Mytilus edulis: one gene and its partners. The protein of the gene in region 1 interacts with the protein of each later gene in a pairwise test. Links are inferred from orthologs where the notes say so. Each region holds a gene or a part of one and is shown in the gene's direction. Other genes may lie near its edges. The genes, in order: ubiquitin-conjugating enzyme E2-17 kDa, E3 ubiquitin-protein ligase Bre1-like, calreticulin-like and myosin-VIIa-like.

Region 1 (7,919 bases):
AGATGGGATATGAGCTAACAATGCCTAAGTACCATAGATTACTAGAGTTCTCTTGTCTATAGATATAAGAATTAAGATGGGATATGAGCTAACAATGCCTAAGTACCATAGATTACTATTGTTCTCTTGTCTATAGATATAAGAATTAAGATGGGATATGAGCTAACAATGCCTAAGTACCATAGATTACTAGAGTTCTCTTGTCTATAGATATAAGAATTAAGATGGGATATGAGCTAACAATGCCTAAGTACTATAGATTACTATTGTTCTCTTGTCTATAGATATAAGAATTAAGATGGGATATGAGCTAACAATGCCTAAGTACCATAGATTACTAGAGTTCTCTTGTCTATAGATATAAGAATTAAGATGGGATATGAGCTAACAATGCCTAAGTACCATAGATTACTAGAGTTCTCTTGTCTATAGATATAAGAATTAAGATGGGATATGAGCTAACAATGCCTAAGTACCATAGATTACTAGAGTTCTCTTGTCTATAGATATAAGAATTAAGATGGGATATGAGCTAACAATGCCTAAGTACCATAGATTACTAGAGTTCTCTTGTCTATAGATATAAGAATTAAGATGGGATATGAGCTAACAATGCCTAAGTACTATAGATTACTAGAGTTCTCTTGTCTATAGATATAAGAATTAAGATGGGATATGAGCTAACAATGCCTAAGTACTATAGATTACTATTGTTCTCTTGTCTATAGATATAAGAATTAAGATGGGATATGAGCTAACAATGCCTAAGTACCATAGATTACTAGAGTTCTCTTGTCTATAGATATAAGAATTAAGATGGGATATGAGCTACAATGCCTAAGTACTATAGATTACTAGAGTTCTCTTGTCTATAGATATAAGAATTAAGATGGGATATGAGCTAACAATGCCTAAGTACTATAGATCACTAGAGTTCTCTTGTCTATAGATATAAGAATTAAGATGGGATATGAGCTAACAATGCCTAAGTACCATAGATTACTATTGTTCTCTTGTCTATAGATATAAGAATTAAGATGGGATATGAGCTAACAATGCCTAAGTACCATAGATTACTATTGTTCTCTTGTCTATAGATATAAGAATTAAGATGGGATATGAGCTAACAATGCCTAAGTACCATAGATTACTATTGTTCTCTTGTCTATAGATATAAGAATTAAGATGGGATATGAGCTAACAATGCCTAAGTACCATAGATTACTAGAGTTCTCTTGTCTATAGATATAAGAATTAAGATGGGATATGAGCTAACAATGCCTAAGTACCATAGATTACTAGAGTTCTCTTGTCTATAGATATAAGAATTAAGATGGGATATGAGCTAACAATGCCTAAGTACCATAGATTACTAGAGTTCTCTTGTCTATAGATATAAGAATTAAGATGGGATATGAGCTAACAATGCCTAAGTACCATAGATTACTAGAGTTCTCTTGTCTATAGATATAAGAATTAAGATGGGATATGAGCTAACAATGCCTAAGTACCATAGATTACTAGAGTTCTCTTGTCTATAGATATAAGAATTAAGATGGGATATGAGCTAACAATGCCTAAGTACCATAGATTACTAGAGTTCTCTTGTCTATAGATATAAGAATTAAGATGGGATATGAGCTAACAATGCCTAAGTACCATAGATTACTAGAGTTCTCTTGTCTATAGATATAAGAATTAAGATGGGATATGAGCTAACAATGCCTAAGTACCATAGATTACTATTGTTCTCTTGTCTATAGATATAAGAATTAAGATGGGATATGAGCTAACAATGCCTAAGTACCATAGATTACTAGAGTTCTCTTGTCTATAGATATAAGAATTAAGATGGGATATGAGCTAACAATGCCTAAGTACCATAGATTACTAGAGTTCTCTTGTCTATAGATATAAGAATTAAGATGGGATATGAGCTAACAATGCCTAAGTACCATAGATTACTAGAGTTCTCTTGTCTATAGATATAAGAATTAAGATGGGATATGAGCTAACAATGCCTAAGTACCATAGATTACTAGAGTTCTCTTGTCTATAGATATAAGAATTAAGATGGGATATGAGCTAACAATGCCTAAGTACCATAGATTACTATTGTTCTCTTGTCTATAGATATAAGAATTAAGATGGGATATGAGCTAACAATGCCTAAGTACCATAGATTACTATTGTTCTCTTGTCTATAGATATAAGAATTAAGATGGGATATGAGCTAACAATGCCTAAGTACCATAGATTACTAGAGTTCTCTTGTCTATAGATATAAGTATTAAGATGGGATATGAGCTAACAATGTCTAAGTACCATAGATTACTAGAGTTCTCTTGTCTATAGATATAAGAATTAAGATGGGATATGAGCTAACAATGCCTAAGTACCATAGATTACTAGAGTTCTCCTGTCTATAGATATAAGAATTAAGATGGGATATGAGCTAACAATGCCTAAGTACCATAGATTACTATTGTTCTCTTGTCTATAGATATAAGAATTAAGATGGGATATGAGCTAACAATGCCTAAGTACCATAGATTACTAGAGTTCTCTTGTCTATAGATATAAGAATTAAGATGGGATATGAGCTAACAATGCCTAAGTACTATATATTACTAGAATATACAATTTCTTCAATGGTCCGGCTTTAAGATTATTCCTCAATGTCAAGAATCCAGTTATTTTGTGCCATCTTTATCTGATTTAGGTACTGTTTTTTTTTTAGACTGGTCAAATAGGACTGTAAAGTATGGACCCGGCGACAATTGATCTGTCACAGATTATTATAATTGTATAATTTATCTATTTTAATCCAAATTATTATATTAACTAGCCTATTCATTTGATAGTTATTTGTATGTAACTGCTAGTCCATTCTTTTACCAATTTATCCGCCTTTGTGTCAAATAATATTTTTTTTTTAAATACTGTTAAATTGGCACTAGGTGTTAACTTAACGATTCCAGTTTTAACAACTCACCATTGGACAATGATAAATCAAATGATTAATATCAGCTTTTAAATCTACAATTCATATAGAAGGAAAAAAAATGTCCGTGTGTATTAAAATGTTCTAAACATGTTCAAGGGTCGTGCTTAGTAACTTGAGAATTAGCATAACTGTGACATGTAAAACATGTAACCTTTAGCAATTACCTGTCTTAAAGAGATATAGTGAGAAAATACCAAGAGGACAATAAAAAAATCGGCATAATTTTACTCATATAAACAAAATTCAAATTCAAATATTTTATTGGACAAAACACATATGATACAATGCGTATTCCAAGATACAAACACATTAAACATGACAAATTATGCAAATAAACAAAATATTACACAGAAAAACATTAATTGAGCAACACCAGTCCGTGAGACAAATAATACATGCAATCCGAGAAAACGTGGTGAACGCCCGTTTCTTCCGAAAAGGCAATATAATATATATGTAACACGCCACAATTTCAAAAATATTATGGAAATATTTAAGTGATATTCATTGGCCGTTTGTACTCGTGTCACTGAATAACAGATATATCAGAGGGTAGTAATGCCCTTTACCGTCAGGCATCAAACGGGCATTTTCGGCTACCGTTAGCGTCAAAATGATTATTCGTCAAAATATCTTTATCGTGATTCGTCAGAGTTCTCAAATAATTATCGTTACCGTTATTTTTGAAAAATCATTCGATTTTATATATCGTCTAAAAGAAAGTGCCGGCATATTTTATCGTCATGCACCAAAAGTTACCGTAAACGTCTTTTGGCAAGATTTTTTTTTAATACCGTAAGCCTACTAAAGAAAACGTCATTTGGCAAGAATTTTTACCGTTATTCGTCATGAAGGCACCCCCTTTACCACCCTCATATCATCATATCGATTTATTTAAACCTTTTATCTGAGACTACTATAATACACTAGTAGTGTCAGATTTTATTAATATTTTAAACATGTAAAAAAACTGCATTAGTAAAAGATATAAAAGAACAGAGTTCCATTGTCCGCGCCCACGTTGTACATATTTTATCAGTCCCAGGACAATAACTGACCAAGGATTTGTATAGTAAGACTTACTATGCAAATCCTTAAACTGACAAACATATTTTTTTCTTTAAAAACCGTTTTTATATTATTTTTTTTAGATATAAGTAAGAAAGTAAGTAGGTAAAACTTTATTTGGATTCGGCATATTGACAAACAGTACAAACATAAGCTCTAGATAATGACCTTTTCACCGAATATAAAAACATATGCAACTTGATAACAAATAAAACAAGGCATGCAGCATGCAAAATAAATAATTAAAAGCAGCACTAAAAATTAACTCTAAGCAATAGCATATACATGTATCTTGCGAAATAGAAAAACATATGTACATGATATATGAAGCACTATTTTTTTTTTAAATTTGCAGTTTAAAATTATTCTTAAATAAATTTCCAATGATCACATTTTTTTTTTAAATTTGCAGTTTAAATTTTTTATTTTTAAATATATTTCCAATGATCACAGATATCACATTTTTTTTAAATTTGCAGTTTAAATTTTTATTTTTAAATATATTTCCAATGATTACAATTCTTTAACAATTTGTTAATAGGCACCGATTTTCAAAATTGGTATAGAGGCATTGCTGATATAAATATAATATGATATCTGGCAAGAATTGTGCACTTATGAAATTTTCAATAGTGTTATATTTCCAAGGGACACAGAACTCTTTGAAAAAATATAAGCATTACCGCATTCGGCAATGCTCGGTGAATCTCTCCTTCTGAAGGTACGGAATCGGCCGAGTTGTGACGAATGGCATTTACCTATTGAAATGTGATTGAAATATCACATGATCTTATTTCATTCGGAACATTCGTTAGATTTCATCAGATTTATCCATCTTCACTGAATACCGAAAAACGAAAAGAACCCGTATGAGAACGTCATAAACAAGAAATATCTCTCCGCATTAATTAGGGAAATATCAATCAAATACTGCGATAAACGCACAATTATTGTAAAATATAACGTATAACAATGTCCACACCTGCTAGGAGACGATTGATGAGAGATTTTAAAAGGTAGTGTAGCCCTATTCTCATTTAAAACGAATTATGTACTTCAAAACAGTTATCAAACATGGCTTCCGTTTTTGTTTATATATTTTTTTTCAAAGTTCTTACTGTTCATTTTCAGATTACAAGAAGATCCACCTGCTGGTGTAAGTGGTGCCCCAACAGACAATAACATAATGTTGTGGAATGCGGTAATATTTGGGTAAGTTTTGTCGAGAAACAAGATAATTTGTCATAATAATCAGGTCAATCCCTATTACTATTAGCCTATTCATTGTCATTGAATAATCAGAGTTTACTAATTCCAGCACAACAACATTAAACTCTATTTAGGAACATTTGAACAAGTTACAGGTGCCTTTTCATGGAAAGAATTTATATAAAGAGCCAATTACAAACATGTGCATCATTTTCTACAAAATGATGCATCTTGTAGCCATATTGCCATATAAGCCACAGACCACAGATCTACGTACATGAAATGCCTCTGAAATACTTTAAGAGGGTTACCCTAGATATCTTCTGGTAGCGTGATTTAGGGGATCCTGGTCACATAAATAAATAAATGGGATCCTGGTGTTGTCTGAACTGAACCACAAAGTCAATACACCATATCGCTAATCCCGGACGACCCGACTGCTTGAACTTTTGATGCATACAACAATCACTTTTATATTGTGGCGTCAGATATTTTGTTTTATGACGTCAATTTTTTACAGGAACCTGTGTGATATCCAGTAATGGCGGACCAGTAGCGATAAGGTGTATTAAAAGTTAAATATTGTATAATTGAAATAAACCAAAAGTAACAGTTATACAAGTTTACAACATCTAAACTGCAGACTCAACAATATGGGGGCATCGTCTTTAAACTCTGAAGAACAATTCTCTCAAACAAAAATCATAACTCCCTCTCTAGAGCTATTTTTCTCTCAATACCATTCTACATTTATTTTCTTTAGTATCCTGATTACTATAAGGTTAAATGACTGATCAAAGAAATAATCAACAGGGCACCAGATTTATTTTGACATTTTTCAAATACAGATTTTCATTATCATGACTAGTCCAGGACTCATGGACTGTCATTCACCTTTGTGATATCTCTGTTATGATATTATATCGATCCTGACCCTGTTTTGATTCCCAGAAAACATCAGAGAAGAACAATGAATCAAAAGAAAATGTCACCAATTAAGCATGAATATGTGGAGTCTCATGTTAAAAGATGAGACTTGACAGTACTGCATCCATATAATTATAAAATGATTTCTTAACAGGCATATTGAAATATGAGCTTATTTTGTTTACACTGTCTTATTTTATTGCTTGCTTCATGGACTTCATTTGTTATATATTCTGTTTTAGGCCACATGACACACCTTTTGAAGATGGTACATTTAAATTAACAGTAGAATTCACTGAAGAATATCCAAATAAACCTCCAACAGTACGATTTGTATCTAAAATGTTTCACCCTAATGGTAAGTGTGTATTTAGTACAAACATCCTTAGAATGATGTAGAGCTTGACATATTATTAGGTCCTGATACTCATACAAACTCATAGATACATGTTTAAGAAGATGTGGTATGAGTGCCAACGAGACAACTCTCAATCCAAGTCACAATTTGTAAAAGTAAACAATTATAGGTCAAAGTATGGTCTTCAACACGGATCCTTGGCTCACACCGAACAGCAAACTATAAAGGGCTCCATAAATGACTAGTAGAAAACCATTTAAACGAGAAAACCAAGAATCAAATCTCAAAAAAAAAAAGAGAAACGAGAAAAATTTATGAACCACATCAACAAACAACAACTACTGAATATCAGATTCCTAACTTTGGACAGGTGCAAACAAATACAGCTGTGTTTTAAATGTTTTGAAACATTGTTTACATGTAGGTACAACTTCACCCTTTCCAGAAACAATAGTGTAACATCACAACAAAGAAAGACGCATACACTATAAAATATCAGTTGAAATGGCTTGACTCAATCAAAAGACATATTAACACAAGTGAACATACACTTAACGAATAAATTTGACTGATTAATTTATGAGCTGTATATAATGACGAGTTAACAAACACATCTTTCTTTGTGTTTTATACAAAGTCCCATAATAACCATCAATCCACAACACTTTATGCTACAGGAATGTTTTTAATTATTTTTATGCCCCACCTACGATAGTAGAGGGGCATTATGTTTTCTGGTCTGTGCCTCCGCCCGTCTGTCCCGCTTCAGGTTAAAGTTTTTGGTCAAGGTAGTTTTTGATGAAGCTGAAGTCCAATCAACTTGAAACTTAATATGCATGTTCCTTATGATATGATCTTTCTAATTTTAAAGCCAAATTATAAAATTGAGAATGGAAATGGGGAATGTGTCAAAGAGACAACAACCCGACCAAATAAAAAACAACAGCAGAGGGTCACCAACAGGTCTTCAATGTAGCGAGAAATTCCCGCACCCGGAGGCGTCCTTCAGCTGGCCCCTAAACAAATATATACTAGTCCAGTGATAATGAACGCCATACTAATTTCCAAATTGTACACAAGAAACTAAAATTAAAATAATACAAGACTAACAAAGGCCAGAGGCTCCTGACTTGGGACAGGCGCAAAAATGCGGCGGGGTTAAACATGTTTGTGAGATCTCAACCCTCCCCCTATACCTATAACCAATGCAGTAAAGTAAACGCATAACAATACGCACATTAAAATTCAGTTCAAGAGAAATCCGAGTCTGTTGTCAGAAGATGTAACCAAAGAAAATAAACAATATGACAATTATACATAAATAACAACAGACTACTAGCAGTTAACTGA
Region 2 (7,667 bases), on another chromosome or scaffold:
ATACTATTTACTATCTTTATCATGTTTATGGTAGTACAGTAGACTCCGGACAATCGGATACCTAAAATTTCAGCTAAAATTATCCGATTACCCGATATATTCAATTAGACGATGAATGTATATTCAATGAATATTCTACAATAATAAGTAGATCTATTGCTTAATATGTGAAAGGGCTGGAGGATTGATGGAGTGATTTTTATCAGTTACATCACCACGATGTTTGCGAGAAAAATTGTTGATCAGCTGATTATGTAGCTAATGAATAAATTTGTTTCCACTTGCAGTTTTTAAATCCTATATTTATTAAAATCAATCAAATGTCCTGAAATATTTATGTAAATTATTATCTTCCATCCATAGTTTGTCTTTACTTGTTTAGTAAACAAATTATTTACATTTTCACACAGGTAAACTAATTTGGCTATAAATAGATACAGATAGATCACAGCATGTCTGAGTAGAATCTCTTATCTAAAATCGTAATTGTTATAATTTTATTTCTTTAAATAATCAAATTTAAATTTATGAAAATAATCATGATTGATAAAATAGTATTGCATAAAGTTTACGCTTTCAGAGACTTTTTATGTTTAGGTCATGGTTCTACAGGCTTCTTCACATATTTGTAAACAAACCAATATGGCCGCCACACGTGATTACCTTTGCACATGTGAAAAAAATATTTCTGACAAAAGTCAGATTTCTCTTGTCAAAAGGGATTTATATTTATATTGCAATACATTATTCAGAAGGAGGTACATTCAGTTTCAATTATATTTCTTATTCTATGAGCATTTAGAGTTTAATCAAATTCTCCCAACAGTAACGTGCTGCTCTTGTCAACTGAGTCTTGAATAATTTTATAAATACTTAATAGATTCAAACCATTTGAAGTAGAAAGGCATCTAGTTCACATGACAAGGAAAACAATGAATAAAGACACCAATTTAATAAGAAATAGATCCTTTTTATTTATTAAAAACAAAATCTTCTTGTCTGCAAGATTGCAAATTCGTAACTTCAAGGTCGAACTTGTAAACAGGGCGAGTTGTCCCAATACCAAATTCACGCATGCGTACTACAAATATCTACAGTAAATTAAAAACATCCGGTTACAAGTAAACAAATAACGTTCATGGATTTCATGTGGATGAGATGAAATCTATTAATTTACATAAATAAAAAGGTCATATTTACGATAGTGATTGTTTTTCAATCCTAATTTACAAATCAAATGATTCAGATGCTTAATCATGTGTAAAAATCGGTGTCAGGAATCTTAAGTTGTTATGAAATTGTAATACACAGAAACGAATGCGGCATATGGAGGCTCAATGAGTTTAAAGTCGGTCCCATAGGTCTTCAGAAGACTTGACGTCTTCTTCCACCAAAAACCCTGACCTTGTCACAGGACAAATAAAATAACAGTAAGAAAAAAAATTGGAATCATAATTTCCTGTCCATATGCACATCTACATAGTATGTCCTTATAATACATGTAGGTTTCATAAAATTCTGTTGTGAGGTTTCAGAGGAGTTTTGATGACAAATTTGATGACAAACTGTTGCAAAAGTATATTGAGGCCAATAAGTTCAAAGGGGCATAACTCCTAGAAAAATAACCTGAATCATAATTTCCTGTCGATATGCACATCTACATAGTATGTCCTTTGTTGCATGGGGTATAGAATGATTGATCTTGAATGAACAATTGAAATTTTTGCATGTATATTTAAGACCATAAAAGGTTAAAATAGACTTTACTTTGTCCATGTTGTCAAACCAATACACTAAACTGATTTTTTTAAACAAGCTTGCTCACAATGTATGAATGACATAAAAATAATAGCCTTATATTTATGACTCAAAATATGTTACCTTCACCAGTTACAAATTCTTTTCTTTTTTCATCCAGATGAACTGAGATTTTGTCACTGGACAACAAAAAATATTCTCTAAAATAAAGAAAATGCAGTATTAATTTATTTTCCAGAAAGGAAAAAATTCAAAATGAAAAGACTCTTATATAAAATTAGTAAATTTGAAATTAATTTTTTACAATCAAAAGATATTATCTAGAGGAAAATTCGTAAAATTTTTCACCATTTTCGTAGAGCCTGTGATATTAAACAGCAAAAGCAGGAGAGACACTGGGTTCCGCAGAACCCTTACAAATTTTATAGTATTATCTGTATGAACCTCTCCCTGAGACGATGTACAGATACATGAAAAAGCAACCAAATTTGCTGTGTTCTGTATAATGCCTTGCTATAAGTGTCTTTAATAAATAATACAAAATCAATATATTATTTTCATCAGAATTTTGAAATATGTAGCAGAAAAATTGAATGATTGTTACAATGAATTTTGAGCATTGATAGAAATAATAATAATATATGTATGCATAAACACTCACCCTTTGAAGTATGGGGATGGCTTTAAAATATGACTTGCTGAAAGTAAACAGAAAACAAAATTATTTAATCTGTGACTAATTATTCCACTTCTTCATGTTCTTGGTGTTTGATGTGTGGTTTAAAGGTTATCCTTTGGTTATCCTTTTTTTATATAGATTACATGTATATTGTTGGTTTTTCACACTGGTCATTTTGGAGCCATGTATAGCTTGCTGTTCAGTGTGCGCCAAGGCTCTGTATTGAAGGCCATTATCACTTTTACCCATACATGTAATTGTTTACTTTTTACACATTGTGACTTGGATGGAGAGTTGTCTATATAGTGATAGCGATACATAAAATTTGCACTCACAGGATTTTAAGAGTGCTTAACCAAATATGCGTAATGGCAGGCATGTAAATTTAGGGTAGGCAGGGAGACTGGAAACACAACTATATTGTTTTTGACTTTATTCCTAATCAAGTTTTAATCCGACATCATTGACACTCACACCACATCTTCCTATATCTATATACTTAAATAAATTGACCTATAAATTTGACAGTAAATGTCGACTCCATGAGGGATGTTGTTTGTGGAACACACAATATGTAACCATTATCTTGGACTTCTTTGTACAGGTTTTTATGTGTAGTCTGAAAATAAAAAATAATAAAACAGTTTGATGAAATATATGTCTTAACATTTTAAGCACTTTATCAGACACCAAAAAAAATTATAAACAATTATTTCTTCTTAGTTTAATCTTTAGCATGTTTAGCAATATATACATATACATGCCAGTGCCAAATTCATGTCAGGAGCCTGTAATTCAGTGGTTGACGTTTTTTTTTATGTGTTACGTATTTTTTTTTATATAAATAAGGCCGTTAGTTTTCTTGTTTAAATTGTTTTACATTGTCATTTCAGGGTCTTTTATAGCTGACTATGCGGTATGGACTTTGCTCATTGTTGAAGGCCGTTCAGTGATCTATAGTTGTTAATTTCTGTGTCATTTTGGTCTCTTGTGGACAGTGGTCTCATTGGCAACCATACCACATCTTCTTTTTTATATGTGATTGTGAATAATGAGACTGGGTGAGAACCACACTAAGAAGAACTTAAATTTCAAAAAACTTTAACCGCAGAGTGAATATTTGTGGAAGCTGACGCAATGTAGGATTGCTATTTCTCACTTTTTCAACTAAAGTCGAAGGCTCAACAAAAATTAAATGTACTCATGAACTCAAAATCATTCTCTCTTTTTTAATTAGTACTGTTGACAGCTGTTGAAATGTTCTACAATTTACAGCTCACATTTGTATATCTGATGATTACCAAAATAAATCAATGGCAACAATAAAATTTTAATACAGACTTCCTCTTCCTTAACCATGTTCACCTGCATCATATATGTAATCATTATACATGTATAAGTTTGCAACAACTGTAATGAAATGACAAAAATTATGACGTAATAACATATATATAAAAAAAGAGGGATGAAAGATACCAGAGGGAGAGTCAAACTACTATAATGAAAGGTCTTAAGGACAAAAATTATGAGGTAAAAACATATACAATTAATGTGACATTGGAAAAGTACGGGAAAATATTATGCACAGATGTCATCTCTAAACTCATGTCATTTCATAGAACTACGGAAATAAATATATGACAATTAATTTTTCTCAAACAATGATGATTACCCTGCTGTTACCCAGCCTCAACATGTGAAAATAAGAGGATGTGGTATGATCAGATGATTGCCAAAGGCAAAGAAAGAACTATATTTTTGTTATATTCATATGAATAATTTCTAACAATTTAACTTAAATTTTATCAAAAATTGGGCGCGAACATGTAGGGTGCGAACGGACGTGGGGGGCGAAAATGTGAGGTGCGAACGTGTAGGGTGCGAAACTATATTGGGCGCGAACGGACCTGATACCCACAGTGCTCAGTTCCTTACAGTTGAATTTGAATTATACCTGTAATGACCTAAAGAAAGGATTAACATCTAATTCATCAATTTCAGCCATAGTTCTGAATATTTTGAGAAATGAATATGGTAACTGCAATCAATGGTGGATGTGATAACCTGGTAATTTTATCAATCATGAGATTTGACAGTTGACCGGAAGTGTACGCCATTCGAAACACCTTGAAGTTTCTCATGCGTTTAGATGTAAAGTCTAGAAGTTATCGAAATTCATCCGGGACTTTTCAAGATGGAAGCCTAAGGTTGCAGTTTTAAAGAAATTATTTAAAATATATAACGAACAGATTTTTTTCAATGTTAAATACACCTTTTTAAGTGTTTGATGTTTGCTAGCATTTATTCTATATGTATCTTAGTTTTTAAGATATTGCTCCATGTCTTTTTCTTTCTTCTTTTCTTCTTCTTTACTACTTTAGTCTTTAGTTTTGTCAAATGCTTGTCTTCTTCCATTATGTACTGTTCCTCAGTGTGAATTCGCATTACTGTTTAAATAAACCTCACCTATTAACACTAAATGTTCACACAGAGGTTTGTTACTATTTGCCGAGTTTACTATCTATGGATCCCAATGGACAATGATGGATAGTCTTAGTTAACTTGGCAAATATGAGACCCACTATAAAAGAACTTTAGCTGGATATGTAGACAGTAACTGTTTGGTGTTTTTAAATATCAGCTGTATGTGTATGACCAGTCAGAGATATAACTCTATAGGGTTATTACAGAAAATAACTTGCGTGTGTTATTACAGATACTTTTCCTTAAATTTTCTAAATCTGTAATAACATATGTTTGTTATTTGTAAAATTATTTAATCTATAGTGGACTCTAGGAAACTCTTGAGACTTTGCGCAGAAACTAAATGCATAGCCTTGATAATTAATTTTTAAATTGAATTAATACATTTTTGATTTACCATGGTAAATCAATGAGACAAGGCTATTAAGGAATTAACTTAGCTGTGATAACAAGGCTTAGTTATTGAAGGAATGTAGCTTATTATATAAGACACTTGGGAATTACTGAGAAACTTGCGCAGAACCTCATTACATGCTCTGGTCATTATTTCTTAAAATAAATTAAAATACGTTGTAATTAAGCATGATTTATGTCTGAGCAAATGCTTTGAAGTGATATAGAGAAGCTGTGATAACACCCTTTAGTTATTACAGGCATTTTTTTTCTGTGATAACATATAGGTGTACTATCCAAAATTAGAATACTATGAACTATTACATCTTTCAATAGTTAAGTATACACAAAGACAATAGCAATATTAATAGAACTTGTATACATTTTAACTAAACTTATGATGTATATTGTCCCTTTGAAACATGTAACATACATATGTTATCACAGTTCTTTGATTTTTTAGTCCACAATAACAAATGTATGTTATTTTCCTGTAACAACCCTATAGAGTTATATACTAAGTGAAATAGTGAAATAACAATTCGCTTTTTGCAGCCATAAATGTTCAATTTTGTCAAATTACGCTAAGAAACATTGATAATTAGTCAATCACTTGCAAGTGAATGAGTCGACCGCTTTAAATCCGTATTCATGTGAACTTCAATTTAACCCCTAGCTAGACAATGCTACAGATTGACAACGCATGCATTGTACGTGTACTGGTTATTTAAAGAAAAAAAATGTCAACACAGTGTTCTCCCCAGGCCGATATGACGCTGCGGTGCCGCAGCGCCTTCATAATATTTTCGTTAATCCCGCAGCGTCTTAATTGGCCGCTGTCCCTTGCTACTTGATCCCGCAGCGTGTTAATTTTCACATTTTCATTATAAATGTTGGTTAAAAATTGTCAAGTTGCTGATCACCGCTGAGAGTTCGGTCAGTGTTACGCAATATCTGATAATTATATAGTTTTACCTGAGACACGCTTATCTCAGCCTTATCGGACTATGTTATCATGTAATAGCGTAAATGATCATCAAGAAGATAGATATTTTCAGCAGAAAATTAAAAAAAATTAAAAACTTCAGTGCAGAAATTGAAGAAATAGATCGCAAATACATTGTATTTAAGCATCGTGTGTGTGATTACTTGACCATTTATATAACGAATTTTTTCATTGGTCGAGAAGAAGAATCTATTTAAAGACGACCAATGAACGTGTTCAATACACGTGATAGATTTGAATACACATTGCTAAAGATATTTACGATGAAAATTATGAATGAGAGAATTTGTAGTTGAAAAGATTAAAATAAACTTTGATTAAAGATAACGAGAAGTGATTTATTTTAATTGAAAGTGAAAAATGTTGCTTGCAAGGTAAATTCGTTTCAAACTGTCATATTTTTAGAAATAAAATGATCATTGAACATCGATCGTGAGTCCATGCGTCGGGAACATTTTATGTGACAATCAACACGGGTACGGAATCGCTGATAATGTCACTAGTAAATAATTCCAATGGTCTTAACTTTAACGAAGTCTGGTTTATATTTACCTGCCAAAGATAGGGTTTAACAATACATATAATGCACAATGAAGCGTAATTAAATGTCAAACTACGGAAACTTGTCAGCTGTTCATTAAAATATTTTTGTTTTAAAAAGTTGTATACCAACTAGATCTTAACCATATTCGATTTTATTAATTCTGAATGAACATGTTCTCTGCAAATAACAAAGGGTGAATTCTAAGCAAAAGACATGATGGAAGTAGAAGGTTGTTTTTTTTCAGATCAATGACTTCTAATGAAAAGGGGAATACACCTCCCTCTACACTCAGCTGTCAGTATAAGCAGATGTTATAATTGCTTCTCCTAATCCCAACTGAGCTAAAGTTTTAGCAAGTGATAACAGCAAGCATCATGTTTCTAGTTTCAGTGACAAGTGGCTGACTGAGTTTTCATGGCTTAGAAATGTTAAGGGGGGTATAAGCAAAAGTTATTATGAGAGGGGGTTTTCAACCCTGAAGAGGATTAAGACAACGTTGAGGAACAGACTGTCCAACAAAATAACACTATCTTGAAACAATATCCCTAGAAGTAACAGAGAGTACAGAGATGAATATTTATATTTTGACTTCTTTAATTGACTGAATATAAATAACTTTTGTTTTTAAAATCAATTTATTTCATATATAGTATATTCTTGTATAAATTCATTAATACTCTGCGTTATTAAACACACAACACAAAGCAATATTGCATGTTATGATTTATGACTGATTGATTCAGATCACAAAAGTTCACTATAAAAAAGGAGTTAAGCGCCCTTTGAATTTTCCGCCTTAAAAA
Region 3 (8,138 bases), on another chromosome or scaffold:
TCAGGTCTGTAGTTGAGAGTTGTCGCGTATTGGCAATCATACCACATCTTCTTATTTATATATAAAGATCGAACTTATCACAAAATCATCTTTGGACTAAAATTCATCAGATATAGACAGCTGAAATTTCGTTGAGATAACGACATCGATGAAAATTCTAGTTTAATCCGTACGTTGTATTTGTTTCTGCGATTAAAAGGAGATAGAATTAATGATTGGTGAATGGTTTTGTAATGTCCAACGCGATATTTCATTCATGTAATTTTAGGCTGAGATCAAGTTTAAGACTTAAGTTGTAGGAGTAATCTGCAAAGGATCTTACGGAAAGAAAAACAAGAAATTTGGACTGCCATTGTTAAAGATGATATGATATATTTGGAAACTGGGGTAAATAACCAATGTGTCACCGGCAAAACTTTCGGACAAGTCATAGATGAAAAGAAATTTCGAGGGACAGAATGAAATAAACGCCCATTGTACTATAAAATTGATTTTGTTTTAGTTTTTGAAATGCAAAATAATGCAATATATAGCTTTAACTCAGACAATCTTACACAAAAAGTGCCGGCATCAAATAACCACGAGGACTCAATATCTGAAGGACTTATATAAAATATTGATCAAATATGCTTATAGATAAATCGAAACAATTAAAGGGTTGAGATATACGAGGGTCAGTACGGGGTTTACCGAATAGAGAATAAAGGACCAATCCAACAAATATATGGCCCAACTTGAAAATAGAGAATATAGAAAAGTAGGACTAAAAAAATAAAAAAGAGAATAATGGGGTACTAAATATAAAGAATAAAGATTAGTGGAAAAAATTATAAAGGATAGAGAAAAATGGCTTGAAAAATTAAAGATTAGAGAATTGAAGGATCCCTATCTAGACCATCATAGAGACATTTCTTAGATACCATCCATTAATAAGAACTAAGATATTCATATTATATATTTATATAATCTCGGACAACAACAACTTCTGGTTTAGATTGATACTCTCCAAATGTGATAAACGGAGTAGTTTCTAAACATATATGTTTTGTTCAACTTAATTCTGACTTGGATATAAACATGAACACAACAGTCCATGCAAAAATAAAACAATTCCTATACACGTCATTATATAATATCCTTCTAACAAACACTTGTCACGGTAACAAACAATTTAATCGTTGTACCCCCTCTGTAGTGACATTTTCACCTATTATGTCTGTTTGTTTTGTTCACACATCATTGTCAATATAATGAAAATTCATCCAACTGTGATACATTACAAATAGGATGCTAAGCTAGCTAATCCACAATTTTCTACATAAGTAAATACCTGTATCAAGTCAGGAATATGACAGTTGTTATCCTTTGTTTTATGTGTTTGAGCTTTTGATTTTGTCAGTTGATTCTCGTTTGATTAGAGACTTCCCGTTTTGAATCCCTCGGAGTTCTATTTAAGGCAAAGTTTGACAAAATAATCTGTTAGTTTTTTTTTTTTTAAATAATTAAGTTGGATTAATTTCTCCTATAGCTCTTTGTTGTTAATTTTTTTTTGTTGGTGCACCATGCTATAAAATACTACTTTTAACTGTATGGTATTGATACACTTAGTACTTGACACTACTACCTACGATGCTTGTACATATGTATCCGGCATGTCCGGATATCCCGGTCTTACCAAAATCTCTCCGAAATTTCTCATTTATTTAAAAACACGTGTACAGGTTGTCGGTATCACATTTGTCTTTCCTTTTTTTTGTGTTGTTTTTTTTTGTCGGAGTCTCTAGATTTGTTTGATTTGTGTGGTTTTTTTTGGGGCAGGGGGTTTACAACATATAACATAACATTGGCTAAAAAGTGTAGGGAAGTAGGGAATGGATGGTGCAGAGACTATTCGTAAAAGATCTACAAAATAACAACAAATTCTCCAAACGACTATATTAAAGATAAAGATATATCCAATGCATGCACCTACTAACGAGGTTCCTATCTGATAGATACATTGGAACATGATTCCGAAGATTCAAATAGTTTTACTAACACTCAAATTTGAGTCTTACCTTTTCTGCAATCGGAGGTTCGGGGGGTTAACCCCCCCTCTTTTTACGACGATAAATGCATTTGAATTGCGGGACAAAAGTTGGAACCCCCTTTTTATAATGGGTTGGGAACCCCTTTTGAAGATCGCTAGATCCGCCCCTGATTCATTACCGACTAACAATTAATGTAAATAATTCATGACGCGACATCCCTATACTATAGTCTATAGCACTTGTAATATATTTAGTATTCTCAAATCAAACTTAAATGAATAGCATATTCAAGTGCTGTTCTAAAGTCAGAAGTTATGGACTTTAAACACAGAAAAGCAAAGGGTGTCGTGTGATAAGGAAAAAATCCTTATCTATGAGTTTTCGCGCGAAAAACATAGATTTTAGTAAAATTTCTAGAAACAGTTGAGTACATTCCCACATGAAATATACGTTTTGGGTGAAAAGTTTGCAGCCATTTAATTGTATGCACATCGATTGTAGATAATTGTAAAATCATGGCCACGCGAATATTCATAATATTTGAAAGATCTGACAATTTAAACTTTTCTCTAAAAAATTCTTCAATCTATAATTGTTTGTACTATACGTCAATAGCTAAACATTGAAGAATGTGGCCTTTAACTTAATGCACCCCTCTTTTGCGTTTTTTTGGGGTCTTATTGAAATGAAATTGTGTAAATTGTTTCATGCCATGATTTTTTCAATGAGAATTCAGGGCCGTAACTACATGGAGGCAAATGAGGCAAATGCCTCATGTTGGAAATTTCAAAAAAAAAAAAATGAAACAAGATTGTCTTCATATCAACCTGAATTGTTTTCACGGAAAGTGTCTTGCAAGAAGCAAGTTCTCTTCACTCTCTGATATCGCCCCTGCATGTTTTTCGTGACCCATGTTTCTATTTTACTTTTAGTTTTCAGAGTTGATGGTCTATTGTTTGTACTTCTGTGTTCCGAGTGTGTCTTTTGTTCATTTATTGTCCTACTTTATAACTATAGTCTGCATAGTGTTGATTTTTCATTTGTAAGGTGTGGTTTTGCAATGTTGCAAGTCCACCGATGTCCAGACATTGTACGAGAAACTATTTTAAGAATATATACGATGCTACTGGACTTAGAAAAAAATTGTCGTTTCTGCATGGAGAATTGAACTTGATATCAAAGAATACAAAACTGGCTCTTTTTTTTGTAGATAAAACTAGATAGCTGACATGGTTTAAATTAAAGTAAGACCATCCATTGTTCTTGGTCTCAAATCATCTTTAAAAAAACGGCAATGTATTGCCATATGACCTTTTACATTGAAGGCTTAAACTTGCATGAAGTCGTGTTCAGACTCTTAAACAGAAAATAAAAGAATATGGAGTAAACGTGCACAGGACCTTATCTCACACAAAGTCAATACATAGAAAAAATACAAATGATCAACGGTCAAAGTTTTTTCCTATTCTTCATCTTGATAGTTGATGGAAGGTCTTCAAAAATAAAAGAATCAAATGTTAATACCGTAAAACAAGGTCAAGATGGTCCTTAGTGTCGACATAAGCAGTACTAGTACTTATAGTATAATACTGCATTGTCACTATATTTAAATCTAGTCAAAAAAAAATCACCAAAGTCTGAATTAAGCACAATACAAGACAAGAACAGACAGACATAATGATGATGTGAATTTCGGTTTTTGCTTTATCCTACATATCGGTCTACATTTAATGTTGTCCCCGTAAAATCTAAAAGTCTTAAATTACAATGAATCTATGTTTTTGCTTTGAGACAAGAATATTGTCGAAAGAAATAGCTAAAAATGAATTGCGTTTCAATGTAAGAAAGAGTCCGGGAAACGCTCAGAATGCACGATTTTGCGTTATTTTTCTCAGAGCTTCTGGGGGCCTTGAGAGGCCCCCATATACCTCGCCAAAAATTTTCGCCTCGCTACGCTCGGCGAATATATTTTGTCTCAATATTAAAAGAGACTAGTTACGGTCCTGGAGAAACTGGGGAAAACTTTTCAGATAATACATTTTTTTCTTGTGAAGAAAATAAGAATCAAATAAGATATGTGATGATCAAGGATTTGTAGTCCTTTGTAGTAAAACTACTGTACATGTAATATGATTGAAAATCCTTCGGTAAGATGTATAAATACAGAATCAAATCGTGCATGAAAAATGTATATTACATGTATGGTCAATGACCTAGAATATATAAACAAAGTACAAATCCTTGGTATACATGTCAACTGGCAGCATTTCTTTATTTTTGTATCCGTACCCCGAATAGCCTTTCTAGACCACTGAGCATGCATGATGAGGGGGGAACAGGGGGTACCCTTCTCCCTTCTCCCACCCCTCTTCTCCTTTCTCCTACCCCCGTTCTCCTTTTCTCCCATTAGAATAAAACATCTTTTGAGATATTTTTTCTTGAAATATTAGAAAAAATTTTAAAAGGAGAGATATTTTATTTTTTCTCCTTTCTCCAACTTTTTCTCCTTTCTCCCAGCCTTCCTCTCCTTTCTCCTATCTCCTTTCTCCTACCCTCTTTCTCCCTGTCTCCCTTACCCCTGTCCTCCCCCTCCATGATTGCATAAACATTTCAGTACTAAATAATTCATAAGTGTATTTCATATATGAAAACAAGCATGTATCAGGCACTAACAAAAACCCAAATAAAAAACAGATTTTTTTTTTCAAAAATGTTGTTGTTGTAGTTGTATGTGTATTGCATATTGTGTATTTAGGCCTATATTTTTTTTTTATTTATCTATTTTTTCAATTCTTACATAACATCTTCTCATGTTACATCTTACGTTCATGAAAAAACTTCTAACAAGCTTTTAATGATAAATGTTTCTCACGTTTCTTGATATAAGCTTAAACTAAGTTGGTCTGATCTTAGCTAATTTCGTGTTTTCGTGTCAGCCTATCCCCCCTTTTTGTGCTGTCAAAATCGGATTGGATATAATAAATATCCGTGGCACGGAAACAGCCGAATGTAACAGGAATAGATTGACGTAGATAGCCGGGCGCGTGGTACAAATCGATTGGTCCACCGAGGTAAATATATATCCAATGACAATCTTCCATCTGGCCTGTCACGTGTGTCCCGGCATCTTCTCACTGGAAATACAAACATCAGAGAAGTGAACATCATACTTGAACATCATATTGGAACATCGTCGAATAATGAGAACTTTCCTGTTGCTTGTCGCCGTTTTCGGCGTAGCACTGTCAGACCCAACTGTTTATTTTCAAGAGGGTTTCTCCAGTGGTGAGTTTGCAACCTTTTTTTATAACTTTTGAGAGACGGTGTGCACATGTAAGAAGAACACACAAAATTATCCTGAACTGTCAAAATTGTGAATCACTTTCGTCGATTACTTCTACAACACTTTGCATTCTTGAGAAATATCATTCTAATGATATTAGGATCCTGATATTAATTGCCAGTGTTTGATTAAATAATTTAGTACAAGGTGCTTGCCTGTTGCAGTGTTGGGAAATTAAACAGACTGGCCAGTCATGTCAGTGGCTTGTGAACAATTTGTGCTTTACTACATGTAAATAATGAATACTAGGCTGACAGAGTTAGCCTTTTATATTTCTTTTGAAATCACTAGATTTCTTAAAGGATTGTCACGAGTCATGATAGTTTATTCTTTTTGTGATATATTTATTTATTCATTTATTTTTGTATCATATGGCTAGTCCGAGATTACTCTGAGGTCCAACGGCTGTTTTGCCAGACAAGCTGGGGCCGTGGGACGTCAGAGCTCGTCCCATATAAAAAAGTGGATATTTGCCCACCCAAAATAGATATGCTGCTTCGTCGCTTCTGGTGCAGACTGACGGCATTGGAATTATATAAATCGGGCATGAATTTGATCATTTTTCATTTATCTCTTTATTTATGTAAGCTTCACCTACCTGCCACCCTTTATTTTTCCATATTTAAAGTTTTCACAGTGACCTATCGATTCAGACATTTTTACTTTCATATCATATGCCATGAACCCTGTTCAGGGCTTCAGGGTATATCTGTACATTGATATCAATGTTTTTAATGATTTCGAGATAGAAATGTGGCTTATGCTATATGAAATGGGTAGGGACACTTTTCTGATATAATATATGTTGTTTGATCAAATGATCTTTAAATTAAATGACGACTCCGGAAAGGTTTATATTTTCCCTATTAAAACCACCAGATCTGTGAAGGAAAACAGTTAAAATGAGAGGGTTGGTGTCAGATCCGAATTTTTCATAAAAGGGGGGGGGGGGAGGCTTTAGTTGTGCTTCAGTGATTCCCTGCATAATCAGCAAAATTTTTCCCACTAATGGGGGGAGGGGCTGCCCCACCCTTCCCCCTTATTCCGACTGATGGTTGCCATCTCAAATATAGTTTGTCCTTGCCAAAGTTGCATGTGGTTGCCTTGTAACATATATTTATGTTATCTATCTTTTTTAGCTGGTTGGACCGACAGATGGGTCGAATCTACTGCTAAGGGAGCAGATCAAGGCAAATTTGAATGGACTGCTGGAAAATTCTACGGAGATGAAGATCTTGACAAAGGTAGACATAATAACATTTAGTATGTCGTGTATGAATTTTGCATACATGTATAAAAACTATGGTTAAATGGAAATGGATTCATAAATGTCTTCATTAAAATTTAAAAATCCAAAAACTAATAATAGATCACTCACTGACTTAATTATATATCAGTGTCTATGCTAGAAATTTTCACCCCTTAATCTAAGGAAAAATAGAAAATATTTTTAAAATCTATATTAAATCTTAATTTTACAGGTATTCAAACATCCCAGGATGCAAAGTTTTATGGAATTTCCAGCAAACTAGAGAAGCCCATCAGCAATGAGGGAAAAACTTTAGTTATCCAGTTCACTGTCAAACATGAACAGAACATTGATTGTGGTGGAGGATACATGAAACTTTATCCAAGTGATGTTGACCAGAAAAATCTCCATGGAGATTCTCCATATCTCATCATGTTTGGTAAGTTATAAAAAACAAGGTTTTAATCAGTAGTTTTCTTGTATACCTTACAACTGATTTTTCCCAAAATGATATTGTTGATTATGGTTTTCTTATTAAGCTGAGTTTCTGATATTTCTAAACGAGGACTTCTATTTAAAGTGTTAAATGCTTTCATCAGTCTTCACGCCGAGTGGCAGCCCAGGCTGGTAAAATTGCTCTGGGGCCTGTAAAAATCAGACCTACAGGCCAACAGAATCGAACTAAAAATTTTCAAAAATTGAGCTGTAGACTTAGCAGTTCAGCGTGAAGACTGTATCATCAAAATAAAGGCAATAACTTTTTGTTTTAAATTTGTCAATTGCTACAAGTGCATTTAAAATTCATATTGGTATTATATGAAAACAAAATATTTTCAAATTTATAAACCAACTTTTGAATTTGATCCTCTTAATATAATCAAATTGATGTACAAGTTAGGATCCCTCCTTGGGTTTGCAATGTTCAGTTCAGGTAGTACTAAATGTATTGCAATTTGGTATTGGTCCAAATTGAGATTATTTATTTGAATTTATTGTTTTCAGGCCCTGACATATGCGGACCAGGAACCAAAAAAGTACATGTGATTTTCACCTACAAAGGAAAGAATCTTTTAACCAAAAAGGAAATCAGATGCAAGGTACAGTAGTTTTCTTTTGATGATTAGAGAAAGCTTATACCATAAAGTTTGCAGAAAGTGCAGTCTTGAATTTGAGAAAAGCAACCTCAATAGATTTATTGGAATGAAGCAGTGTTAAAAGCAAATCAAGTTACATATGAAAAAGAAAGAGCAAACCATGACAATTAAAACAGATGGACAGGCAAAATTTTGTTGATGGTCATTTTGTGTTTTCAACAATAATTCAGTCAATTTGACTGTTAAATGTACATTTATAAGTGTCAAATTAACCAGAAAAGATCTCATAAACTTAAGGAGATGTAGTATGCTTGCTAATGAGGAAACTTAAAAAAGTTTATTCTAAAAAAAAAACATTGAGAAGATAGTCTTAACAAACATAAATCTTGCTTAATTTAAGTAATGATTATGATCGTCTCTTT
Region 4 (7,924 bases), on another chromosome or scaffold:
ACACAAGGTTCCCTGGAAACCTTTTTTTTTTATTGCAACAAAAAACTATTGACAGTAAGCTATGTTCAAAATTATTAACAAAGCCTGCACTTTATTGTCATTATAATTAAGGTTATAACCAATTACATTTTTTGGGGGAGGGAGGGGGAGGTAAAATTTGTTTCTTCAAAAAGACTAATGGATGACTAATTCAGTGTAATATGTTTTTGACAAGTGTTCCTTAATAGTTTTAAAACATTCATCCATTTTAAGTTTCATTCTTCTTCTAAGAATAATCAGTTATGAATTCAATACATCTATCCAAAAAGTTAAATTATTCAAATACACCAGACAGACAGGATTTAAAGTAGAAAAAACTTGGTAGATAACTACTTTATATCCTATTTGGCAAATATCATGAATATGGCAATCAGAAAAACTTAGAACTGTTTCCATCAGAAAGGAACTGAACTTACTTTTATTAATAACTCTTACTAAAGTAATTTAGTCTATTTACAAATATAAAGCAAACTGCACAAACTAAAACTCATAATATGTTTTAAAAATGATACTATTTTACTAAGAAGAGACACACCTTCATCTAAAGGATAATGTTTAAAATGTCTGGTATAGTGAAAAGTGCACTTAATTTGTTTTTGATAGCTAGCTTTGTTATATAATGTTAGTGTACCTAAAGGTGTTGATATTTCCATGTCATTTCCTAATGAAAAGTCATGTAAATAGGCTAATGTTTGTTATATTGGGACTCATTACTGACAGTAGTATTTGAAACCTAGCAACCTAATTTTATCACAGGATTTCAGGAAGGCAGGAGAATGACTCTGCATGTAATAGTGATATGACTATGACTATCAACATGTAGCATTATTATTAGAGGACTGTTGTCCAATTTCTAAGGTCTCGTTCGTACAAATCAAAGAACTCGAATGTATGCACTATTTTATTTGAAATTGTAGAAGTTATGCCTCTTTGAATATTTATTAATTTTTACTGTTGAAATTAATACAAATGTGTAACAACTAAGATAAAGATGGCCCTGGGTGTTCAGATACTGAGCAAAACATATTTATGAAAAATAATCATTTATTTAAATTTTATCAAATCAACATTTTTGGGGGTCTCCCAGCATTATTTTTGTTCTTCTTATTTGAGTGTATGCTCTAGTACCTCTGTTTTAGCTAATGCAATCCTTTCCAATGTCTTCCTCTTCTGTCCACATACTTATCCCCCTTATTGTGTTATATTTGCCGTGGGCTGTATGCTTAAAAGAAACTCCTCATAAGTTCAGTGATATTTAACAACTGTAAAAAAATATTGATTATTTTATGTATAAAAAAGAAGAAAGTAAGTGACTGTCAAAAAGATAACTCTCCACAAGAGACCAACTGACAGAAATTAACAGCTGTAGGTCACCGTATGGCTTTCAACAATGGATAAACCCATATTGCAGTCTGCCAAAAGAAGCGCCGTTATCACAAATGTACAATAATTCGAACAAAAAAAACTAATATTTTAACAGTCAGTGTTTCTTTACATCCAACCCCTATTTTAAACTCAATAATTATGTAATTTCTGAAATTTCATCACCTGACCGGTGAGTATAAGTATACTTTGAAGTAATTTAATAATTGTTAAATCAACTTTGAATCTATCAAAACAGCCTTGGTAGCTTTTGTACTGTGTATTAGTTACCAATACATCTTTATATCAACCTATTAGGCATGTCTGGGGTGGGAGGATGTAAACAAATGCAGGTTCAAAGAAGTTAGTTGATTTCTGCAGTCACATCATTTATGTCTTTACCAGGATATCTTAACTACCAGTGAATGGTCTAATAAGAAAGTTTAAGTGAATATTGAGATAATCAAAAACTCAGAAGCATATTCTGACAATCCAGCTTTAAAGACTGTCATAATTGTTAATGTTTATCTTTTCTTTGTTTGTATAAGGTAAACATGACAGCATGCTTTTCAACTTTAAAATTTGTTCTATGGATTATCCATTAGCCATATCCAATCAAAGAATAACATGAAAAGTCAACACTCAGAATAAGAGTTATTTCTCTTCATTGCTACAATCTTGTTGGTTCAATGGTGTTAAATGGTTTTCACTATTCATTTGGGCAATATAATGATGGTGAATTACAAATATACAGTAATGAATGAAACTTGATTTTTGCATAATTACCACCTAACATGCCTACCGTTCTGATCAAATGGGACTTATACCCCAGAGGGGATGCAGTGTGAAATATTCTGCCCAAGTAGATATTAAACAAAACTCTGCCACACATGACATTATATTTGAGATAGCCATGACTTACTGTAAATCATGTATTGTATTTATTTGAAAAAGGCTGACGTCAGGATTGTTATGTTTATTTGAACACAATTTGAATTTTGAATGTGTGCTTCTTGTGTAACAGGGCTTGCTGTAACTCTTCCAGCACCTGACTTCAAACAGGTAGTTAGTGAACTGCATGTTGCTTAGTATTTTTTTATGCCCAACCTACAATAGTAGAGGGGCGTTGTATTTTCTGGTCTGTGTGTGCGTTTGTCCTTTAGTTTGTTCGTTTTTTCATTTGTTCCTCTGTACGTCCGTCTGTCTCTCTTCAGGTTAAAGTTTTTGGTCAAGGTAGTTTTTGATGAAGGTGAAGTCAAATCAACTTGAAACTTATTACACATGTTCCCTATGATATGATCTTTCTAATTTTAATGCTAAATTAGAGTATTTGTTCTGATTTCATGGTCCACTGAATTTTGAAAATGATAGTGTAAGTGGGGCACCGGTTTACTATGGACACATTCTTGTTTTCAGTGATATAAGAGCTATTTTGCTCACTGTTCTGTTGAATGATTTAAAGCCTATTGTCTGCAGTGTTCTGTTGATTGATTTAAGGCCTATTGTCTGCAGTGTTCTGTTGAATGATTTAAGGGTTTTTGTGCCTAGTGTTCTGTTCCATGATTTAAAGACTATTGTGTTAGTGTTCTGTTCAATGATTTAAAGGCTATTGTGCCCAGTGTTTTGTTTAATGAATTAGGGGCTATTTTTTCAGTGTTCTGTTAAATGTTTAAAAGGGTCTTATGCCTAGTTTTCTGGTCAATGATTTAAGGGCTATTGTTTTCAGTGTTCTGTTAACTGTTTTAAAGGGTATTGTGCCTTGTGATCTGTTCAATGATTAATGATGTGTGTGCTTATTGGTCTTTTAAATGATTTGAGGACTGTTGTGCTAATTATTCTGCTAACATTTTTTAAAGGCTATTGTGCTAATTATTCTGCTAACATTTTTTAAAGGCTATTGTGCTTAGTGTTCTGTTCAATGATCTATGGACTTTTGTGCTTAAGTTAGTGTTTTGTGCAATGATCTATAGAATATTGTGGTGAGTGTTCTGCCCAATGATTTAAGGGTTTTTGTGTTTTTTCTGTGCAATTATTTTAAGGCTATTGTGCTTTGTGTTCTGTTCAGTGATTAATGGACTTTTGTGCTTAGCTTTATGTGCAAGGCAATGATATGACGTGGACTATTGTGCTAAGTGTTCTGTGCAATGATCTATAGAATATTAAGTATTTTGGTGAGTGTTCTGCCCAATTATTTCGAGACTATTGTGTAAGTGTTCTGTGCAATGATCTATAGAATATTAAGTATTTTGGTGAGTGTTCTGCCCAATTATTTCGAGACTATTGTTTAAGTGTTCTGTGCAATGTTTGAGAACTGTTATGCTTAGTGTTTTGTGTATTGATTTATACAATGTAATGAATAGTGTTCTGTGCCATGATTTATAGACTAGCTGTGGTTTATTTTTTATGCCCCACCTACGATAGTAGAGGGGCATTATGTTTTCTGGTCTGTGGGTCTGTTCGTCCGTCCGTTCCTTCGTCACGCTACAGGTTAAAGTTTTTGGTCAAGGTAGTTTTTGATGAAGTTGAAGTCCAATCAACTTGAAACTTAGTACACATGTTCCCTATGATATGATCTTTCTAATTGTAATGCCCCACTAGAGTTTTTACCCCAATTTTATGTTCCACTGAACACAGAAAATGATAGTTGAAGTGGGGCATCCGTGTACTTGGGACACATTCTTGTTGGTTTTTTTTGTGTTGGTTATTAATTGACCAAGGTGATGTATAACCTTTAACTTACAAGATAAGATTGCTTGTTTTGTGTTCTGCATTTTTTCTATATGACTGTTTTCCCATTTAGTGGTGACAATATGACAATCACTTAAACCATTCAGCCATTATGATATCTCTTCGAAAATGAGTGATCCTAAACACTGCTAGAAAATGTGCCTGCATTTAGTGGGTTTATGTTGGAAAACTTTGCGTCTAGACATCAGTTTAATGTTTTTTTCTGTGTAAATTGAATATATTTTATCTCTTTTTTTCTATCCTTGATCACTTATGTGACTCAAATAGGTGAGAAACTCACACATCTAACTGAATAATGAATATGACATTGGATGAAAATTAATCAAGCTAAAGTAATATAACTGCAGGTTACAACCCTTTAAAACAAACATTAGGCTGCACAAAAAAAAATTGTTAACCAATGAATGTTTCCCCATGGATATCTAAAAACAAAATAGAAACATAAATTGTCAGATTTCAAAAATATAAAAACTAAAATACAATTTACTTGCCTCAAGTGCTTAGTCGATCTTGTGTCTGATGAGAGTAATAATCTCGTTCTTCATCCAGATATCATTATCTATATCAATTGACCAATTCCATTAAGCTGTTTATACGACTCTCCTTTATATGGAGGTTTTTATCACTAAAAACAAGATAATAGTAGGTCGTGCTGATAATCTAGTTTATAATTCTGAAAACAACCCACCGAACACCTTGGCACAAATTCATTGTAGTGATTGAAATATTTCAAAGTTCCACACCTTCCAACGGGAATTAACGTAAAATGTCAAACTTTAATGGAATTTTACATCATAAAATGCATGGAGAAATATTAGTATCTCTTCAGAAATAAAATGGGATTATGAATTTTCTATTATTAAGTGTTCTTTCAAAATAGGACTTAAAATTGTATAAAATATGGAAAAAAACGATGAACACAATGTGTATCCACGACTACAGGTACATGTAAGTATCAATCAGAATTTGATGAAGTCAATTGATGACATTTTGGAAAAAGATTTATTACTAAGATATATTACAGTAAATAGGAATTAATGTAGTTGGAAAAAAAATAGTGTTTAAAATGAAGCTTAAATAGGCCAATATTGGAAGACATAAACATAAAAAAAATATGAATGTTGATAGATCTGGAGCAATTACTATTGAAATAAAATAAAAGACAAAAAAAGAGCAGTATTTGTTTCAGAAAGGAGATTCAAGTAAAATAACCCAAATTATCTCAATTCACAGATTTCATTAAAAATAAATAACTTCTGATGTTGCAAAAAAATTGTGCCAAATTTTAAAAGGATAAAAGTATTATACTGCAAAGGAGTTAGTTATCTAACAATTCATTCACATTGCAGATATAAATTTAAAGTTATAAGAAAATTTCTCATAACAACTAAGGAATTCAAAGCATTTTGCAAGTAAAGCAATACCTATAAAAATCAATCAGATTTAAATGTATAACCAATGTTTACATATTACTTTGACAGATAAAAGTATTCAGTTTAATGAATCAAGTGTAAGTGACCAGTTTGTAATATCTGTGATAGTATTGAACCAGTACAAACAGGGATTAAGATTTTCAATTTTCAAAAGGCCATGTGTATGTTTGAAATTACAGATATACATGGCACCTAATTTCATTTTAGAATTGGGTAAATCTTATCTTTCTCATCTTATTATGTATAATCAAAAGAAAAGAAATTTCCAATAAAATTTAATATTGGTAAAACATTGCATGTTAGGGTGGTACGTCTGTCAGCTGTTTTAAGTATAATGTTGTTTTACTGGTAGATTGTTTCATGATTTGCTATTGTATATGATGAAAGTGTCATTGTGTATATATAGTTTAGTACCATCAAAAGGGGGTTGGTTTTGTTCATCAAAATATGTTCCAATGGGCCTGAAATATTAGCGCTTTGCTGTGAAATTTGTGACAGAAAGACCACTTTATGGTACAGGAGAAAAAATAAGTTTAAAAATCAGTATTAAGTTGACTTGTCTATGTTTATAAACTAAATGAAAATAAAAAACATTGATATTGTGTTTCTTGACTTGCCAGAGTGAAAATTGGGACTTCATTGACTAAAAATGTCTGTAGTACTAGCTTATTGTTTTTGCTTTTTTTAAAAATTCCTTGTTGAACTTGATTGTATATATCATTACAGGTCTGTTACAATACACCTTATCGCTAACCCCGGCTGACCCGGCCGCTTGAACTTTTGACGTCAACAACAATCACTTTTCCATTGTGGCGTCAGATATTCTGTTTTATGACGTCAAAATTTTACGGAACCTGTGTGATTTTCAGCAATGGCGGACAAATAGCGATAAGGTGTATTATATGCATACAACTTGTTTGTACTGTAGTAATTTTAGATCTTGCCATATGGTATAGAGTCTTGTCTTCCAATTTTTAGTAGACTATATTGACCTCTATATATATCTATTCTGGTTTGATTGTTTTGTTCGGTTTCTACCACATCTCCATTTATATTTTACCTAGCATTAATTGTCGTCACTGAGGTTAATACAACCACCTTTTTTTGTTTTGTGTAAAGAACTCATTTGGCTTAAAGTGACCTATTAATTCTTATTTTATTTTGATATTATTTACCTTTAGGGAGACCATGTGTGGCTGGAGCCAGAGACGAAGGGAGAATTTAATGTGGCCATTGGAGGGAGGGTCAAGTTCACACAGTCCGGTAAGATCCAAGTGATTGATGATGATGGCAAAGAAGTATGGCTGGATGGGAAGACACAGATCAAACACATGCACCCTACATCAGTTGAAGGAATCGAAGACATGATTGGATTAGGTGATCTAAACGAGGCTGGAATCCTGAGGAATTTGTTTACAAGATACATGGAAAATCTTATATACGTATGTTTAGATACTGTCGTTAATTAAAACTTCAATCTTACAAATTTGTACAAGAACAGGACCTGTAGGATACTTTGACTTTGTGTTTCGTATGGCTATACGTATGTTTAGATACTGTCGTTAATTAAAACTTCAATCTTACAAATTTGTACAAGAACAGGACCTGTAGGATACTTTGACTTGGTGTTTCTTATGGCTTAAGTACCAATACTGTCAGAAAATGTGTATTTCCAAGTACTGTACCTATTATAAAACAACAACAAAAAATAGGCATTTTACTACATCTTTTATTGGCTGCTTACAATCTAAGTTTTTACAAATGAAGTATTTTTTTTGGCAGAAGGTACCACTTGTAAACCAATTTTCATAATACTTTTGTTAGTAAGTTAAAGGCCTGTCGACAGAAACTGATCATTAGCCAGTAAAAAGAAAGTTATCTTCCTACTAAATTATGTTGCACTGAGAATCAGACTTCAAAAATTCTGTTCCAAATCTAAAAAATGAAAGATGTGGTAAATCTATGAATTCTACATAAATAAAAGCAGAAAAAATACCAAAATATCTGCATGCTAAACTACAAATACTTTTCAAACTAGATTATTTTATTAATTTCATGTTTGTTATGTTATATTGAATTGCTTGATGTTAAATTGTTTTTTGTAAGTGATACTGGTTATTGATCAAATGATGTGTAGTATCTTTTTACCCTTTCACTTTACAGACATTCACAGGTTCCATCCTTGTAGCTGTTAACCCATACCAAGTTCTTCCTATCTACACCAGTGAACAGATTAAACTGTACAGCGACAGAAAAATAGGAGAGTTACCTCCTCATGTATTTGCTATAGCAGATAATTCATACTATAACATGAAAAGATACAGACATGACCAATGTATTAT

The links.
Region 2: the proteins of ubiquitin-conjugating enzyme E2-17 kDa (region 1) and E3 ubiquitin-protein ligase Bre1-like interact in binary tests that used the Caenorhabditis elegans proteins (3 or more experiments, as listed by UniProt). The link is inferred for Mytilus edulis from reciprocal best matches to the Caenorhabditis elegans genes ubc-1 and rfp-1.
Region 3: the proteins of ubiquitin-conjugating enzyme E2-17 kDa (region 1) and calreticulin-like interact in a two-hybrid assay, tested with the Caenorhabditis elegans proteins (2 studies listed by BioGRID). The link is inferred for Mytilus edulis from reciprocal best matches to the Caenorhabditis elegans genes ubc-1 and crt-1.
Region 4: the proteins of ubiquitin-conjugating enzyme E2-17 kDa (region 1) and myosin-VIIa-like interact in a two-hybrid assay, tested with the Caenorhabditis elegans proteins (2 studies listed by BioGRID). The link is inferred for Mytilus edulis from reciprocal best matches to the Caenorhabditis elegans genes ubc-1 and hum-6.

What each region holds. Positions count from the first base shown.
Region 1 is NC_092351.1:724,386-732,304, reverse strand, and holds the start of ubiquitin-conjugating enzyme E2-17 kDa, read left to right. Parts: upstream 1-4,913; 5' UTR 4,914-5,047; coding exon 5,048-5,091; intron 5,092-5,206; coding exon 5,207-5,287; intron 5,288-6,453; coding exon 6,454-6,569; intron 6,570-7,919. UniProt on the Caenorhabditis elegans protein: Catalyzes the covalent attachment of ubiquitin to other proteins.
Region 2 is NC_092349.1:58,371,986-58,379,652, reverse strand, and holds the start of E3 ubiquitin-protein ligase Bre1-like, read left to right. Parts: upstream 1-4,553; 5' UTR 4,554-4,644; intron 4,645-7,667. Other genes in the region: ankyrin repeat domain-containing protein 27-like, read right to left, coding at 1,882-1,958, 2,420-2,456, 2,951-3,056, 4,392-4,442. UniProt on the Caenorhabditis elegans protein: E3 ubiquitin-protein ligase that mediates monoubiquitination of 'Lys-117' of histone H2B. H2B 'Lys-117' ubiquitination gives a specific tag for epigenetic transcriptional activation and is also prerequisite for histone H3 'Lys-4' and 'Lys-79' methylation.
Region 3 is NC_092344.1:93,359,673-93,367,810, forward strand, and holds the start of calreticulin-like, read left to right. Parts: upstream 1-5,088; 5' UTR 5,089-5,230; coding exon 5,231-5,315; intron 5,316-6,512; coding exon 6,513-6,617; intron 6,618-6,854; coding exon 6,855-7,061; intron 7,062-7,624; coding exon 7,625-7,719; intron 7,720-8,138. UniProt on the Caenorhabditis elegans protein: Molecular calcium-binding chaperone promoting folding, oligomeric assembly and quality control in the endoplasmic reticulum (ER) via the calreticulin/calnexin cycle.
Region 4 is NC_092346.1:78,765,599-78,773,522, forward strand, and holds the start of myosin-VIIa-like, read left to right. Parts: upstream 1-4,888; 5' UTR 4,889-5,049; coding exon 5,050-5,097; intron 5,098-6,763; coding exon 6,764-7,024; intron 7,025-7,745; coding exon 7,746-7,924. UniProt on the Caenorhabditis elegans protein: Myosins are actin-based motor molecules with ATPase activity. Unconventional myosins serve in intracellular movements. Their highly divergent tails are presumed to bind to membranous compartments, which would be moved relative to actin filaments.